Linked DNA regions of Ovis aries. The protein of the gene in region 1 purifies or fractionates together with the protein of each later gene. This does not show direct contact. Links are inferred from orthologs where the notes say so. Each region holds a gene or a part of one and is shown on either strand. Other genes may lie near its edges.

The links. The genes of interacting proteins can lie anywhere in the genome.
Region 2: the proteins of SGF29 (region 1) and TAF10 purify together in Homo sapiens (affinity purification with mass spectrometry; 3 studies listed by BioGRID and IntAct, with this or other methods). This does not show direct contact. The link is inferred for Ovis aries from reciprocal best matches to the Homo sapiens genes SGF29 and TAF10.

The regions. Positions count from the first base shown.
Region 1 is NC_056077.1:26,603,582-26,607,329, reverse strand, and holds the start of SGF29 (SAGA-associated factor 29), read right to left. Parts: upstream 2,438-3,748; 5' UTR 2,259-2,437; exon of another isoform or gene 2,121-2,258; intron 111-2,120; 5' UTR 1-110. UniProt on the Homo sapiens protein: Chromatin reader component of some histone acetyltransferase (HAT) SAGA-type complexes like the TFTC-HAT, ATAC or STAGA complexes.
Region 2 is NC_056068.1:46,195,845-46,198,880, reverse strand, and holds TAF10 (transcription initiation factor TFIID subunit 10), read right to left. Parts: upstream 1,925-3,036; 5' UTR 1,900-1,924; coding exon 1,668-1,899; intron 1,530-1,667; coding exon 1,375-1,529; intron 1,139-1,374; coding exon 1,074-1,138; intron 986-1,073; coding exon 871-985; intron 688-870; coding exon 598-687; 3' UTR 517-597; downstream 1-516. Other genes in the region: ILK (integrin-linked protein kinase), read left to right, coding at 137-286. UniProt on the Homo sapiens protein: The TFIID basal transcription factor complex plays a major role in the initiation of RNA polymerase II (Pol II)-dependent transcription.

The sequences.
Region 1 (3,748 bases):
AACAGTACTCTAATTTCCCTTTGGGAAACCATCCTTCATCTTGGCTCCAAGGCTGGGTACACCACCTGGCTCCACGGAAGTATTAGTCTTCCTGTCCAGCACAACTGGTTCTGGAAGAGATGAAAGTGAAAGTGAAGTCACTCAGTCGTGTCTGACTCTTTGCGACCCTGTGGACTGTAGCCCACCAGGCTCCTCCATCCATGGGATTCTCCAGGCAAGAATACTGGAGTGGGTTGCCATTTCCTTCTCCAGGGGAATCTTCCTGACCCAGGGATCGAACCCAGGTCTCCCACATTGCAGGCAGACGCTTTAACCTCTGAGCCACCATATGTGACCCAAATCTGGCCAACATCAATTTCAAATCTCTTGCTAAAGCGATCTACAAAAAAAAAAAAAAAAAAAGACCTCTTTCTGTTGGCTAAAAGAGTAGCATAGAAGCCTGGAACTGATGGAGATTTTTGCCTGCCTGAGGGAGAAATCAACATGGAGGAAAGCAGAGCTGAAAAGACACAGAAAATACTGGTGACATAACCAAGGCTTCTGGATACAGCCATACCTGGAGCTGGTACACCTGGGACTCTAGTTAGAGTCAACAGATACTCCTTTTCTGCTTAGGCTAGTTAGAGTCAATAGATACTCCCTTTCTGCTTAGGCTAGTTTGGGCTACCTTTTTGTTACATGCAACTAAGAAGTTTAACTAAAAAAGAGGTAATTCATAGGGACCAAGGCTGTGAGGAAAAGCACATAGTAACTGCTATACATACAGCCTAAAACTGCTGTCTGACCCTCTCATACAAATGAAAATAGTCTATACTTAAACCACTCTAAAAATAATCACATAGGACTTAGGACAATAAAAGCTTTGTCATAAGTCAAAGAGAAGCAAGGCATCCAAGACTACATTCAGATCCCATACCCTCCATTTAGCCACATCAGTAAGAATCTACATTAGTTTTGTTAGAAAATATTTATTTATTCATTCATTTAGCTGCAGCACACAGCATCTTCGTTGCATCATGTGGGACCCATGGACTCTCTGGTTGTGGCTATGGGCTCAGTAGTTGTGGTGCTTGGGCCTAACTGCCGCACGCCACGTGGGTTCATAGCTCCCTGACTAGGGATCAAACACTGAGTCCTCTGCATTGCAAGGCAGATTCTTAACCACTGGACCACCAGGGAAGTCCCTCAATTCGGTTCCTTTTTAAAATTAAGGAGACCTGATGATTTCCACCTATCCCACCCTGCACCCCAACCCAATACCTACCAGGCTTTGGTACTGAAGCTTACATAGGTGACTCTCATTTAAGCCTACATCAATGCTACAAGCCCACCTTCTTTACAGCTGGGGAAGCTTTAGTTCAGTTGGATGAAGTTATGCTAGGTAACTCAGGAAATACAAGTAGTTGAGCTGCCACTGCAAGCCTGCAAACTATAAAATCTATACTCTTCCTTCCAAGTTTTGTCACACTTCAGCACATTCCATAGCAAAAAGAGATCAGTTCAGTTCAGTTCAGCCGCTCAGTCGTGTCCGACTCTTTGCGACCCCATGAATCGCAGCACGCCAGGCCTCCCTGTCCATCACCAACTCCCAGAGTTCACTCAGATTCACGTCCATCGAGTCAGTGATGCCATCCAGCCATCTCATCCTCTGTCGTCCCCTTCTCCTCCTGCAACTGCATCAAATACTGCTACAGGTCTGAGAACTAAACACTGAATTTGGTGACCTAGAGATGACTGGTGGCTTTGACAAGGCGCTATTTCAGTGGAAGGGTGGGGGCCCAGGCCCGACTGGAGTGGGTTCGGAGGAGAAAAAGTGCTAGTGAGTACAGACCGAAATTTTGGCTGCAAACAAGGGCAGAGAAACAAGGCGCCAAGAGAAATACGAATGAAGAATGAGGTCATTCGGTTAAGATGGGCACATTGTGAGCAAATAACAAATGCTATCAAGGTTCGGGGCCCATCCTCTGCCTTTGTCTTCTAGCACCTGGCCTGGGTACCCAGCCTCCCCGGGCCACTGCGCCAAGCTCCACATGCGGCGGCTTCCCACCCGCGCAGGGCAGGCAGGCGCACGCGCAGACGATACACCAGCCCTCCTTCCCGGCGCCCCGCCTTTCTCCGCCAAGGCGCATGCGCGCCGCCCCTCAAGAGCAGCCTCAGCGAGGCCGGGGCATGGAGACCACCGGCCCTCCACTCCCGCCATCCTGCAGGCGGGGGTGTGCGGCGGAAGGGGGTTGTCCCAGACCGCGATCCATACCTACCTACAGAGCCACGGGTGGAACAAGCACGTCGCGCTGGAAACTGCGACGGCGGGGGCAGGCGCGCGGTCCCTCGAATGCTCTTCAGAGTCTGCAGATGACAACGCCCTTTACGTTCGAAGATTCGCGGCAGGACGAGACCCACACAGCTTTTTTCCCTCTGATGAGCTTAGTCGCAGCGCGGAGGACCCCTCTACGCATGCGCCGTCATCCTCTGTGACGTGCCGCGCTGCCCTTTGGGAAATGTAGTTTTCACTTTGACACACTGCTCCCGGCTTTTCGGCCGAACCGTATTTTACCAAACCAGGGTCTTTGTGTGCCATGCCCTCCTCCAGGGGATCTTCCCCACCCAAGGATTGAACCGCGGGCACTTGGATTGGTAGGCAGATTGTTTACCACTGAACTACCTGGGAAGCCCTTCTGAGAAAGCTACAATGTGGCAAAGGAATCTGGGGCTTCCTTGTCTATCCTTCATCTAACACATCTGAAATGCTTTCCCAAAGAGCCTTGAAAAGTCACAGCAGTCTTCACTGAAGATCGCTTGAGGGCACATGGAGAGAGTTACACAGAGTGCTTTCCTTTTACTAATCCTTTTACTAATTCCTCCCTTGACAGAGTTATACTTCTGAAGGCCATGCTCTCATCTGTCTCTCCTCTTTGCTTTCTCCTGCTTAAGACCTGGCTTTTTTACATGAGGGCTTCAGGCACTTTCTGTGTAAAAAACCCTACAGTCACTCAGCTTGACCCTGTTCACACCCACTCCTCACCCATTTGAGCAAAACAGAAAGTTTTCTCTTCACCTTGGGAGGTGGGAGGTAGGAGGTGGGAGATACTGTAACCATTGTATTCACTTTTAATGGTGATTTTTCTTGACACAGACAAAAAGCCATATCTTGACCAGAAGGTGGCATAGTATGCATGGAATTGAGTAAAGGAAAGGGATGAATTAAACTGACCCTTAACATTTTCCTTTTCTCCCCTCCTTCTAAAACAGGTAACTTTGGGAGGCTATGAACTGTTGCCCACCAGGCTCCTCATACACTGTGAAAAAGTCAAATGTTGCCGGGATCTAGCATCTGGAAGTAAAAGTTCTCCAGAATCCCAGTTGAGGATATAACCTCTACGGAGAGTTTGGTACGCAACCCCACTGCTCACTCCCCTTTTTTTCAATAATTAAAATAGTTTTTACTATAGAAATAGGATTATAGACATGCTTGGGCAGCAATCCCTTGGACCCAGGCTTTCCCTGGGGTGAGAGAGTGGGAGGTAGGGACGGAGGGGAGGGTCTCCCCTTGGGTATTTAGCCCTGGGCTGGCACCCAGTGGTGAAAGGGGCAGTTCAGTTCAGTTGCTCAGTGTGTCCAACTCTTTGCAGCCCCACGGACTGCAGCACACCAGGCTTCCCTGTCCATCACCGACTCCCGGAGCTTGCTCAAACTCATGTCCATGGAGTTAGTGACGCCATCGAACCATCTCATTCTCTGTCGTCCCCTT
Region 2 (3,036 bases), on another chromosome or scaffold:
GTGACAATAATTGTAGTGGGGCTGGGCTCCTGCCACATTGATTCAAATACACAGAATCCTGTCCTGAGGGCTAGACGTCTCTCCCGACATGAGACTCAAGTTCTGAGACTCACCTTGTTTTTCCTTGTGTTTGCAGGTGGCATTGGAAGGCCTTCGGCCTACCATCCCACCAGGCATTTCCCCCCACGTTTGTAAACTCATGAAGATCTGCATGAATGAAGACCCTGCTAAGCGGCCCAAGTTTGACATGATCGTGCCTATCCTGGAGAAGATGCAGGACAAGTAGAGCTGGAAAGTCCTTATCTGAACTCCAGAGGTGTCAGGACACGGTTAGGGGAGTGCACCTCCCCAAAGCAGTAGGCCTCTGGTTGCCTCCCCTGCCACTAGTCATGGTACTACCCCAGCCATGGGGCCCATCCCCTGCCCCCATCCCTACCACTGTGGCCCCAAAAGGGAATGGGCTCAAAGCTTTGTCACTTGCCACACGGTGTCTCCCAGCATGGGAGGGATCAGCCCTGCCTGTCACAATAAAGTTTATTATGAAAACAGGCTGGTGTGGGGACAAGAGAACAGACAAGTACATTTAGACTGGGTGGCTCAGGTGAAGTAGTGCGGCTTCTTCACATTGATGCCATACTCGCTGAGGGCAGGGGTCAAGTCCTCCATGGTTAGAGTGTACTTGCGGTCCTGAGGGAAGAGGGAAGAGCACCAGCTGAACACAGGAATTCCAGATTTCAATCCCAGGCAGGTGACCCTGAGTAGGTCTTTCACCTCCCCTAAGGCTTAATTTCCCTCAAAGGGGTTTCAGGATAATTTAAGCCTCTGCTGCTGTAGGAAGTAATTACTGAATCAATGAGCCTCCCCTCACACCTTGCTCTTGCTTCGGGAGCTGCCAGAGGCTGTGCCCTTCATTTTGCAGTGCTGTAGGGCATCGTTGGCAATATCTGAGATGAATTTCTGGGCAGCTAGGGAGATGAGCCGAATTCTGGAGAGAAAAAAATGGTATGAGAAGAGCATAGACAATAAACTCCACACAAACACCCAACACTCTAACCTGCCCAGAGTTTACTCACATGCGTGGGTCGGAGGCCTCAAAGCCAGCACGGTTCAGGTAGTAACCAGTCACTGCATCAGGGATCTGAGAAATCAATTAGACGACTGTAAGCGTTAGCCCTGTGTACAGCGGGGCTGAGAGTCGGGGTAAGGGAAATGGAGGGCAGGCCTGGCTATCAGGAAGCTCCCAGTTTGGGTGGGCAGAAGGGAAAAATCACAAAAGCTAGGAAGAGAAACACAAGAGGATGCTGCAAATCCAGATGGTGTGGCAGAAGTTGGCGTGACAGCGAGTCATTAGCCTTGTTCAGGCAGGAAGCCCACCGTAGGCGTGTAATCCTCCAGCTGCATCAGGAAGTCCACTAGAGGCGTGCTGGACACCACTGGCTTCACCTCTCCGTTGGCCGCGCTTGGCAGCACGTAAACCCCGTTAGACATGGCCCCCTCCGGGGGCGCCGCGCCGCCGGTCGTCACTGGAGCTGGAGGAAAACCAGCAAACTGAGACACGGAGGTGGGAGGCTCGAGGGTTCCGCTAGGTGTGTCTTACCCTCTGCCCTCACCCGCCGCTGGGCCCAGCCCAAAGCGCGGCCCTCGCCCTCACCCGTCCCGGCCCTCACCCGCCCCGCGCCGCTCGGCAGGCTCCCCGGCCCGCGCCGCCACGGCTCCAGTGCCCCCTGCCGCGGCTCCAGCCCCAGGCCCCCCTGACGTCCCCGCGGGGCTGGCCTTGTTCTCCGCGGCGGTGCCGGCGGGCAGCGCGGCGGGGGCCGAGACCGCGGGCGCCGGGCCCGGGGCCGAGGCGGCGGAGGCCGGCGCCGCCTCGGGGTCCGCGCCGGAGCCGCTGCAGCTCATCGGGCCGGTGGGAGAGGCGGCGAACAGAGCCGCTTCCGCTTCCGTTCACCTTACGCACACACCAGGGGTGACGTCACGCGCCCCACGACTCGTTCCTCCCACGCCACGTTCGCTCCTCCCTTAGGCCTCCTTCCTTTATTCCCCGCCCATCCAGCCGCTACCTGACAAAGGCGGGAGGGCGGAGACCAAGTGTTGCGGAACTGGGCTGGCGCGGACATTTCGCGTCCGGACCCGCGGTTCTCCAGTGTGGATCCGCTGGGATGGGAACCCCTCAATGTCGAGGATTCTCTTCTATGGGCTTGAGGCCCCCTCACCCAGCCTGACGTCTAAAATTCTTGCTTTGATGCTCATCGCCCCGACACCTCTCTACTGTTGGTCGCCTGCGTGTCTGCATCTTTTCTAAGTTCCTTTATCCAGCCTTTTAAGGGTTTGTAGTGGAGTTGAATAGCCTCTTTCCCCGCCAGCTGCCCAAAGTGAAGGTAACCGGACAGCTGACACAGTGCTGCTGCAGATGGGGAGAGAGGTACAGTCCACCGTCCGTATAGGTGGTGAAGGGTTGGTAGGATTGGTTCCGGGACTCCCCCGACTCCCGTCCCCAACCCATGTATACCAAAATCCGTGGATGCTCAAGTCCGTTATATGAAATGGCATAGTATTTGCACTGTATACTCTATATAATCTCTAGATTGCTTATAATATCCAATGCGATGTGAATAGTTTACTGGTGCATGGTAAATTCAAGTTTCGTCTTTTATAATTGGAATTAAAAAATATATATATCTTCAGTTCACGGTTGGGTGAATCTGTGGATGGAGAACCCGAGGATACAGAGGGATGGCTGTCTTTCAGTCTTAATAAACAATTTATGTAAAATCACGGCTAGTGAAAGAGTGGGGTTTTCAACACAGCAAAAATTTATTTTTGTCAGTCCTGAGCTAGGGTCTGCAAATACAGAGTTAAGTAGGAGAAGGTTCTACTCCTCCGGGCACCAGTGGTCTTGCAAAGGGAGGCATTAACAGTTAAACTTGCCATTTCACCAATATATGGGAGTTAAAATACTGGAGGTAGACACAGGGTGTGCAGTGCAAGGGAGGAAGGGAACTAATAGTTGCTGCCTACATCTGTGTGTTAGGCATT